2 linked regions of the Callithrix jacchus genome follow. The protein of the gene in region 1 interacts with the protein of each later gene in a biochemical or structural test. Links are inferred from orthologs where the notes say so. Each region holds a gene or a part of one and is shown in the gene's direction. Other genes may lie near its edges. The genes, in order: CARD9 and TRIM62.

Region 1 (4,301 bases):
AGGAAGTGCCCAGGCATCCCAGCGTGCTCCTCTTCCCTGCAGTCACGGGTAGCATCTCCCAGAGGCTCTGCAGCCCAGACTCCTGGTTTGTCTTCGGTCAGGTGGGTCCTGGACCCTCAGGTGGGTAGGTCTGGTGCTTTTCTGAAAGGTGGCCAGGAAGGTTGGTGTCAGTCTCATTCAGGATCCTGGCGCTGATGCCCCAGAGCAGCATGAGGCTTTCCACAGGGAGCCGGGCAGCCTCCATGTGCGGCCCCATCCGTTTCACGGCCACTGTGTACATTTCAGTGGCATTACCAGCCGAGGCAGGTGGGACTCTGGATTCAGGCTGGAGAGGCAAGGCAGGGGCCCAGTGTTCCCAGGACTGTCTGCCGTGTGGGTGGTGCTTCTATTTAGTCCCTTGTCTGTTTGTCAAAATTGGCCTGAATGGGAAGACAAAGCACGGCAGGAAGTTGAGAAAATCCTCACAAGACTAAGCCTGGGGCAACTGTCTCCAGGAGAGGTGACCCAGCTCCTTTGGGCTGGAAACCAGCTTTCCCAGCGGGGCTGGAGGCTGTCTGAGGAGCAGGGTCTTGCGTGGGAGGCAGGACCATGTGGGTGCTCCCCGCCTTGGCCCAGTCACAGTCCCGGAGGGAGTGGCTTTCAGTGGCGGAGGCTTCTACCATGCTGGCAGAAAGGGACAGCAGTGGCTGGTCCCAACATGGGTAGTTCTTTTGTTGCAGTGAGCGAGATGGTCCTGGAGGGGGTGGCTGGGGGGCAGAAGAGTCCAGGAATTCACTGGTGCCCAGCACCTAGGAACCTGGAGAAAATGCCACAGCAGCACTCCTGGCTGGCCAGGGCAACACTGACAGCCCCTCCCAGGGTTGTGGGGCCAGGGAGTGGGGGGGTGACAGAGACACACTCCTGTGGGCAGCTCTACCTGGCTGGTACAGTGACCCTGGCAGCTGTGGCAGGGCTGGGCGGCAACTCTTGCATCATCAGCAGCCGGCCATGGAGGAGGGAGGGCACAGCCCGGGATGTGAGCGGGTGTCGGTCAGGGGAATGAGGAAGTCCCAGAAGGACCAGCTCCCCCAGCTGCTGTGCTGGTGGGAGGGTCACAGGCCAACCTGCTCTCACCCAGCTTGGCCTGGCCAGAGTGCCAGGCAGGTGCTCACACCACTCCACCCATGGAGGTGGCTGTCCTTGCAGGCTCCAGGGCTCCAAGGTGAATTGGGAGTGTCCAGGATGCAGAGGCCAGAGTGGGGGTCATGCTGAAGGGGGGGTTCCTCTCTCGGACCCATCTGTGCCTCCCTGGGTGCATATCTGGGTGACAGGATGGCCAAGGGGCAGCAGCAGGGGCTAGGAAAGGCTGTGGAGGGACCTGAAGGGGAAGGTGTCACTGTGTCTCTGCTGCCTCCCTGGGGGATCTGGCTGTGGGAATGGGCACCTCTCCTAGACGCCCCTGGGCTGATCCCCTTGACAGCCCTGACAAGAGCCCTGGCCCAGCATCTGAGAAGGGAGTGGGAGCAGGGCCTGGGTGGGGGCAGGAGGCCGTGTCACGCTCAGTGGCTGCCCCAACTCTCCTCAGCCTGCCTGCTGGGGCCATGTCGGACTACGAGAACGATGATGAGTGCTGGAGTGCCCTGGAGGGCTTCCGGGTGACGCTCACCTCGGTCATCGACCCCTCACGCATCACACCCTACCTGCGGCAGTGCAAGGTCCTGAATCCCGATGATGAGGAACAGGTGCTCAGTGACCCCAACCTGGTCATCCGCAAACGGAAAGTAGGTCAGTGCTGTCCCACAGGCTCCTGGCCCCAAACCCAACCAAGGAGCCAGCTCGGAGGTGGCTGCAGGCTCTGCGACCCTGACCCTCAACTCCAGAGGAACCCCACCCAGCTTTGCCCCTGGCCACCCAGTGAGGCCCAAACTCAACCCTGACATGTGGCCGCCCCACCCCCCAGCCCTCTCTTGCTGGCTCGGTGCTGCCAAGAGGGGTCATGGGGCTCCCACCACAGCAGGGACTCCTGAGACAGCCAAGGGGTGGGTGGGCAGCACTGCCCCCAGCCTAGCACCTAGACCCTCAGGGTGCCTCTTCCACGATCCAGACAGCAGCACACCTCCTCTGCGTCCCAGCCTCCACCTCTCCCCGCCCCCGGGCCCACCCATCCCAGCCCTCTGCCCCGCCAGCACCCCGCCCCTTTTTCGGCCTCTCTGGCCTGCAGGTGTTCTCCTGGATATCCTGCAGCGGACAGGCCACAAGGGCTATGTGGCCTTCCTCGAGAGCTTAGAGCTCTACTACCCGCAACTGTACAAGAAGGTCACGGGCAAGGAGCCAGCCCGAGTTTTCTCCATGATCATCGGTGAGTGACGGGGAAGGCAGGGCCAGCAGGGAAGGCGGGGCTGGGCAGTGGTGCTCGGTCAACCGACAGGCCCACATGCTTAGGAGCCCTGAGCTCCTGCCACAGCGCGAGGCGTGATGGAGCTGGACTGCCAGGGAACAAGGGCCCTGTCTGACACTGGCCCGGTCCACAGATGCGTCCGGGGAGTCAGGCCTGACACAGCTGCTGATGACTGAGGTCATGAAGCTGCAGAAGAAGGTGCAGGACCTGACTGCGCTGCTGAGCTCCAAGGACGACTTCATCAAGGAGCTGCGGGTGAAGGACAGCCTGCTACGCAAGCACCAGGAGCGTGTGCAGAGGCTCAAGGAGGAGTGCGAGGCCGGCAGCCGTGAGCTCAAGCGCTGCAAGGAGGAGAACTATGACCTGGCCATGCGCCTGGCGCGCCAGAGCGAGGAGAAGGGCGCTGCGCTCATGCGGAACCGCGACCTGCAGCTGGAGGTGCGCCTGCTGCCCCAGGGAACCAGGGTGGCCCCCCTCGCCTGGCCTGGTGGGGTCTGCGGGTCGGGGGCAGCCCCGTGGGTCGGCTGTCAGCACCTGGAGTGGATGGCTGGGCTCACCCGGCCTTCTGCAGATCGACCGGCTCAAGCACAGCCTCATGAAGGCCGAGGACGATTGCAAGGTGGAACGCAAGCACACACTGAAGCTCAGGCACGCCATGGAGCAGCGGCCCAGCCAGGAGCTGCTGTGGGAGCTACAGCAGGAGAAGGCCCTGCTGCAGGCCCGGGTGCAGGAGCTGGAGGCCTCGGTTCAGGTGTGGCTGCGGGCAGGGCGGGCACAGGTGGGGCGGGTGCAGCCTGGCAGGGTGGCATGGGCCTTCCCAGCTGGGCCATTGCTTTTTGCCCCCTTCAGGAGGGAAAGCTGGACAGGAGCAGCCCCTACATCCAGGTGCTGGAAGAGGACTGGAGGCAGGCGCTGCGGGACCACCAGGAGCAGGCCAGCACCATCTTCTCCCTGCGCAAGGACCTCCGCCAGGGCGAGGCCCGTCACGCCCGGGTACGAGCGCAGGCGAGGACATGTGGCCCCTGGGGGCCATGCTAGGCTAGGTGGGCTGAGCTCCGCCCACTCTGTCTGGAAGGTGGGGTGCGGGGACCCCAGTGCAGCATCTCCACTCACCCACTCCTGGAGGCACAGTGGATGGTGATCACTCCTTGCTCACCTGCACCCCATGGCAAAGGCCATGGGCTCCTTGTAGCTGGGCACGGCAGTGCCTGAGGCCTGGGGAGAGCCCTGCGCTGCTGTGGTCTGGAAGGGCGGGGTAATAGGGGCCTGGGGGCTCCTATGGCCTCCCCCAACATCCCGACTGACCTGACCCATGTTCCTGAGCTCCTAGCTGGAGCACCCCCCAACTGGTCAGAATGGGGAGCCTCAGGCCTTGGGGGCTGAGCTGCTACCCCCTGCAGTTCGTGGAGGAGAAGGAGATGTTGGAGCTGCAGTGTCGGGCCCTGCGCAAGGACTGCAAGGTGTACAAGGACCGCATCGAGGCCATCCTGTTGCAGATGGAGGAGGTCGCTGTCGAGCGGGACCAGGTGGGTGCTCACGGTGGGGGCTGGGGAACAGAGTGCCCCATTCGAGGTGGGTGCACCAGGGCCACAGGCCTTGAGGGCAGTTGTCAGAGGGTTTTTAATCTTTATTTTGTTATTTTTGAGATGGGGTCTCGCTATGTCACCCAGGCTGGCCTCAAACTACTGGCCTCAAGCAAATCCTCTGGCCTCAGCTTCCCAAAGCGCTGGGATTGCAGGTTAAGCCAACACACTGACCTGTTTTTTAAGTAACAGAAGGAATATCTAACACTAAAAAAAAAGTAAACTGATGAAGTCAATACTCCCTCATCCCAGCCTGCTGTCAGGGGAAACTTCTACCATCCCGCTCCATCTTAACAGATATTCCCCTCCCCTCCCCCCCTTCCCCTCCCTGCCATCTTCTT
Region 2 (4,317 bases), on another chromosome or scaffold:
GCAACGGCTGTTACATGAGCAACCAAGCATTTTTCTGGCAATGATGGAGATTCTGGGCCAGATGAGAGTGTGATGGAGAACGTGTTAACAACAGAGAACTAAACTGAGAGCTTTTTCATAAACTGTACCTCAATAAAGTTTAACACCAGTGAAGATATTTCTGGAGAAGGCAGAAACTGGTAGCCACCCTCGATGCCTCATTTCCCTCACCCCCGTATTCAACCATCACCAAATTTCACCGGGTCTGTACTTGTAATACCCTAGCCTTCTCTCCTTACCCACTGTCCGGGCCTCACCCACAGTTTGGGTCTGGCCTTCTCTAGGCACGAGGACAACAGCATCTCAGGGATGCTCAGTCTTTCCTTCCTCTTGCAACTCATGGCATTGCTGTGGTTATTCAGCTACACACTCTTACTGTGTGGTGAGTGCTGTGCATACGCAGACACATTGGAAAAACTTCCTGTCTTCTTCACCTTGCAGATGGCATAATGATTATCTCCAAGACTTCCTGAAACCCAATCGGACCAGGTCATTTCCTTGCCTGAAAGCCTGATGCCTTCAAGAAATTCTTTACCAGGACCCACAATGCCCTCCAGCCCACCCAGGCCCTTTCTCCACCCCACCCCCAACAGTACAGAATTACTTGCACTTCCTTCACTGCACCCTCCCCTTTCACGCCTCTATGCTTTCGCACAGGCTGTCTCCTCTGCCTAGAAATCCCTTATCCCCTCTCCATCTGGCACACGACAAAGTCTCCTATTACTTTTCCTCCCTCTCTCCTGCTTCACTCCCCCTAGGCCTTACACACACGCAAACACACACACACACACACACACACACACAGCACTCCAGAATTGTTTGCCAATGGAGGCAGCCCCCGAGGCCAGACGTTAGCCAGGGCTTTCCAAACTTCTCCCCAAGCACTCCTTAAGAAAGTGAAGAGGAAATGGGACCCCAGGGCTTAGGAGTGTGAGAGCCTTGAACTTGCTCTAAGCAAGCAGGGCATTTCGAGAGTTTTAGCTTTATATTTTATGCAGAAGTTGTATTCCTAACATATTCTTGTTCGTTTTAATACAAAATATTATTTCTTCTAAATCTTCAAATCGATGATCCAGAAAGATGCTCCTTGTTTACTTGTTGTGCTCTCAAATTAGCTGCTCTCCCCGCTCTGCCTCGCCGCGGGGACCCTAAGCCAGACCTGGATGCAGTTCCAAGTACACACCCCGAAGGAACAGCTGGGCTTCGCTTCCCGGGGAGCTAGAGGATGATGGGGGCGGGGCGGGAGGGGTCAACCGGCTGGCTGCCCCGCCCCTCCCCCGCCCTCTGCGGGGGCGGAGTTGCTCGGGTCCCGCCCACGGGGGCGGGGAGGCAGCCGCGGCCGGCAGCTCGGATACGGCTGGTTCCGGGTTGAGAGGCTGCGCTGGACCGAAGCGGTGGCTGCTAAGCCCGCGGGGGTAAGGGGCTGCCCCGGGCCAGGGTTTGGGGCCGGGATCCGCCAGTTGAGCGGGCCGGCAACCCTCCTCTTCTCTGCGGGTCACAGCCAATGTGCGGCTCGGCCTGGCTGCCCCCTCCCCCAGGATTTCCCATCCCCAGCTTCTCACCCTCCCCCCACCGCCCCCATCCCGGGAGTTCGACCCCCTCGAGGGCTCCAGCACCCTCCAGGATCCCCTTCTTCCAGCTCCTATCCCTTCGGACTGCCCCGCCCCCTAGAACCTCCTCGCCAGGATCCTGGTCCCTTAGCCGCCCACGGCCTCCTCCCTCCGGCGCCCATCGCTTTGGGCTGCCCACTACCTCGAGACTGCCCTCCCGGGCTGGCGTCCCGGGGAGTCTCAGCTGCGCACCCCTTCCTTGCGTTACCCTCCTCCCGGAAAGCACCCCCTCCCTTCTTGGGTAGCTCCTACCCCTGCCTGTGCGGGCCTCGTCCCGGCTCCCAGCCCTCGGTGCTGCACCCGACAGCGCCGCGCTCTCTCAGCCGCCCCGCCGCCCCTCGAGCCCCCCTCTCTGCCGCCCCTGGCGCCATGGCGTGCAGCCTCAAGGACGAGCTGCTGTGCTCCATCTGCCTGAGCATCTACCAGGATCCGGTGAGCCTGGGGTGCGAGCACTACTTCTGCCGCCGCTGCATCACCGAGCACTGGGTGCGGCAGGAGGCGCAGGGTGCCCGCGACTGCCCTGAGTGCCGGCGCACGTTCGCCGAGCCGGCGCTGGCTCCCAGCCTCAAGCTGGCCAACATCGTGGAGCGCTACAGCGCCTTCCCGCTGGACGCCATCCTCAACGCGCGCCGCGCCGCGCGACCCTGCCAGGCTCACGACAAGGTCAAGCTCTTCTGCCTCACGGACCGCGCGCTGCTCTGCTTCTTCTGTGACGAGCCCGCGCTGCACGAGCAGCACCAGGTCACCGGCATCGACGACGCCTTCGAGGAGCTGCAGGTGCGCTGCCCGGCCGGCCTGGGGCGGGGGCGGGGCCGGGCTGGAGGTGGGGCTGGGGCGGGGGTGGGGTCAGGGCTGGACCGCGGGGCGGACCCAGTCGGAATGGTCCCGGGGCGGGGCCGCCGGCAGGGTCAGGGCCCTATCAGGAGTAACACGGGGCAGGGCGGGGGAGGGGGCGGGGCGGGGCAGGGGCGGGGCCTTGGGCAGTCCTTACCCGCGGGATCTGAGACTGACCTGGAGTAGGGGCTGGTCCGTGGTTAGGGAGAGGTCCAGGACGGGGATGGGACAGCGGGAACAAATGAGATCAGAGCTGTACCAGGTACTGGGCTGGAGCAGGGTTGTGGACGGAGCTGAATCAGAGCTGGGCAAAGGCAGGGCCACTGTCAGACTGAGGGCGAGGCCACGAGGATAGGACTGTACTAACCCGGGTAACTAAGCTCTGGCAGGCTGGGGGTTCTGTGGGGCGGAGACTGGATCAGATGTGCATCAGGATTAAGGGGAGTACGGGGGCTAGAATGTGCTGGGCAGGTGAGGATGAAACCTAATAGAGGGGTGTAAGTTAGAGTGCCAAACTGTTGAGAAGGCAGGTTTGAGTGCCGAGGATTAGGCCAAGCTGTATGAGGGGTTGACTGAGAGCTGGTCCAGATCCTCTACAACAAGTTTAGATTTAAGCCAGAGTAGAGACCAGGTTGAGTGGGGCCAGGACTTGAAAAGTAAAGATTTGGAGAATAAGGCCCAGATGTAAGGTGATTCAAGAAGGGAGGGGCTAGACCTCTAGGAGTCTCCAAGGGTTTTTGATGACCTCTTTGGCTCTGTCCCCTACGTCAGGATCTTTGAAGACTAAGTGAAATGGTACATTCAGAGGGACTTAGCATAGTTGACCTAGAACTCTAATTGGTCTCCCTTAAGACTTCCCATCTTCACTGACAAATTCCTACTCAACGCTTAAGGCCCTGCTCAGATGTCCTCTCTGTGAAGCCTTCTCCAAGCTCCACTGACAAAATCAATCAATCAATCGATAATTTTTAAAAAGACATTAGAACTGTATTTCCCCAAATGCCCTCTATTAATACATATGGGAAACGTAGTATATTTTCTTATACCCACCCCCTTGGAGAATTTTCAGTGTACGTTTGCATATTAAAAGCTTAGAGAAATCTTGTTGCAAATAAATCTATTTTATTGTGTTTAATAAAATGGCTCCCAAGTTTATTTGGGCCTGGAATCCTTTTTTCAAGCTAAATCACTTAAATCCAGCAGTCCCATGTTCCTGGCTTTGGGATATTAGTCGAGCACATAATTCTCCAATGCCAGAGACAGTATCTTATGTCTCCTATCTATAGCCCCAAAGCCTGGTGCAAGGCCTTGCCCACAGTATAGACCAATAAAGGCTGAATTAATGAATGAAAGAATGACCAACCCTGGCCTAAGCTGAACCAGACTGTGGAGCATTTGGAAGCAGACGGTTTTTGGTTCAAACATTTTGTGAAAATGGAGTAGGCTAACTTGGGAGGTAATGAGCTCTCTGGCCTCAAGATACCCAAACAGGAACTAAATAACTACTTTCCCCTGTATTAGAGGGGCTCCCAACCCCTCCATACACGAGTCTGTGAGTAAGCCTGCACCCAGCAGATCCCCATGGGCCTCAGGAGAAATGGCCCATGTTCACCATTGCCCCCTCCCTGTCCCTTTTATCTTGAAACTACAACTGACTCCCTTCCAGTCTAGCTGTCTGAGAATGAAGGCCCCATCAGAGAGTGAGCAAGGGCCTGGGCCTCTGGGACCCTACACAAGGCTTGGCCCTCCACCCCCAGAGCCCTCGTGGTAGGCACTGCTGCTGTCCATCTCCCTGTCTGTGGAGTCACATAAGCAGGAGGAGTTTGAAAGGACT

The links.
Region 2: of the proteins of CARD9 (region 1) and TRIM62, one has a biochemical effect on the other in vitro, tested with the Homo sapiens proteins (4 studies listed by BioGRID, with this or other methods). The link is inferred for Callithrix jacchus from reciprocal best matches to the Homo sapiens genes CARD9 and TRIM62.

Annotation. Positions count from the first base shown.
Region 1 is NC_133502.1:184,844,048-184,848,348, reverse strand, and holds the start of CARD9 (caspase recruitment domain-containing protein 9), read left to right. Parts: upstream 1-1,267; 5' UTR 1,268-1,415; coding exon 1,416-1,764; exon of another isoform or gene 1,765-1,917; coding exon of another isoform or gene 1,918-2,200; coding exon 2,201-2,338; intron 2,339-2,510; coding exon 2,511-3,370; intron 3,371-3,777; coding exon 3,778-3,903; intron 3,904-4,301. UniProt on the Homo sapiens protein: Adapter protein that plays a key role in innate immune response against fungi by forming signaling complexes downstream of C-type lectin receptors.
Region 2 is NC_133508.1:69,757,121-69,761,437, reverse strand, and holds the start of TRIM62 (E3 ubiquitin-protein ligase TRIM62), read left to right. Parts: upstream 1-1,392; 5' UTR 1,393-2,018; coding exon 2,019-2,426; intron 2,427-4,317. UniProt on the Homo sapiens protein: E3 ubiquitin ligase that plays a role in antifungal immunity by mediating 'Lys-27'-linked ubiquitination of CARD9 downstream of C-type lectin receptors; leading to CARD9 activation, followed by activation of NF-kappa-B and MAP kinase p38 pathways.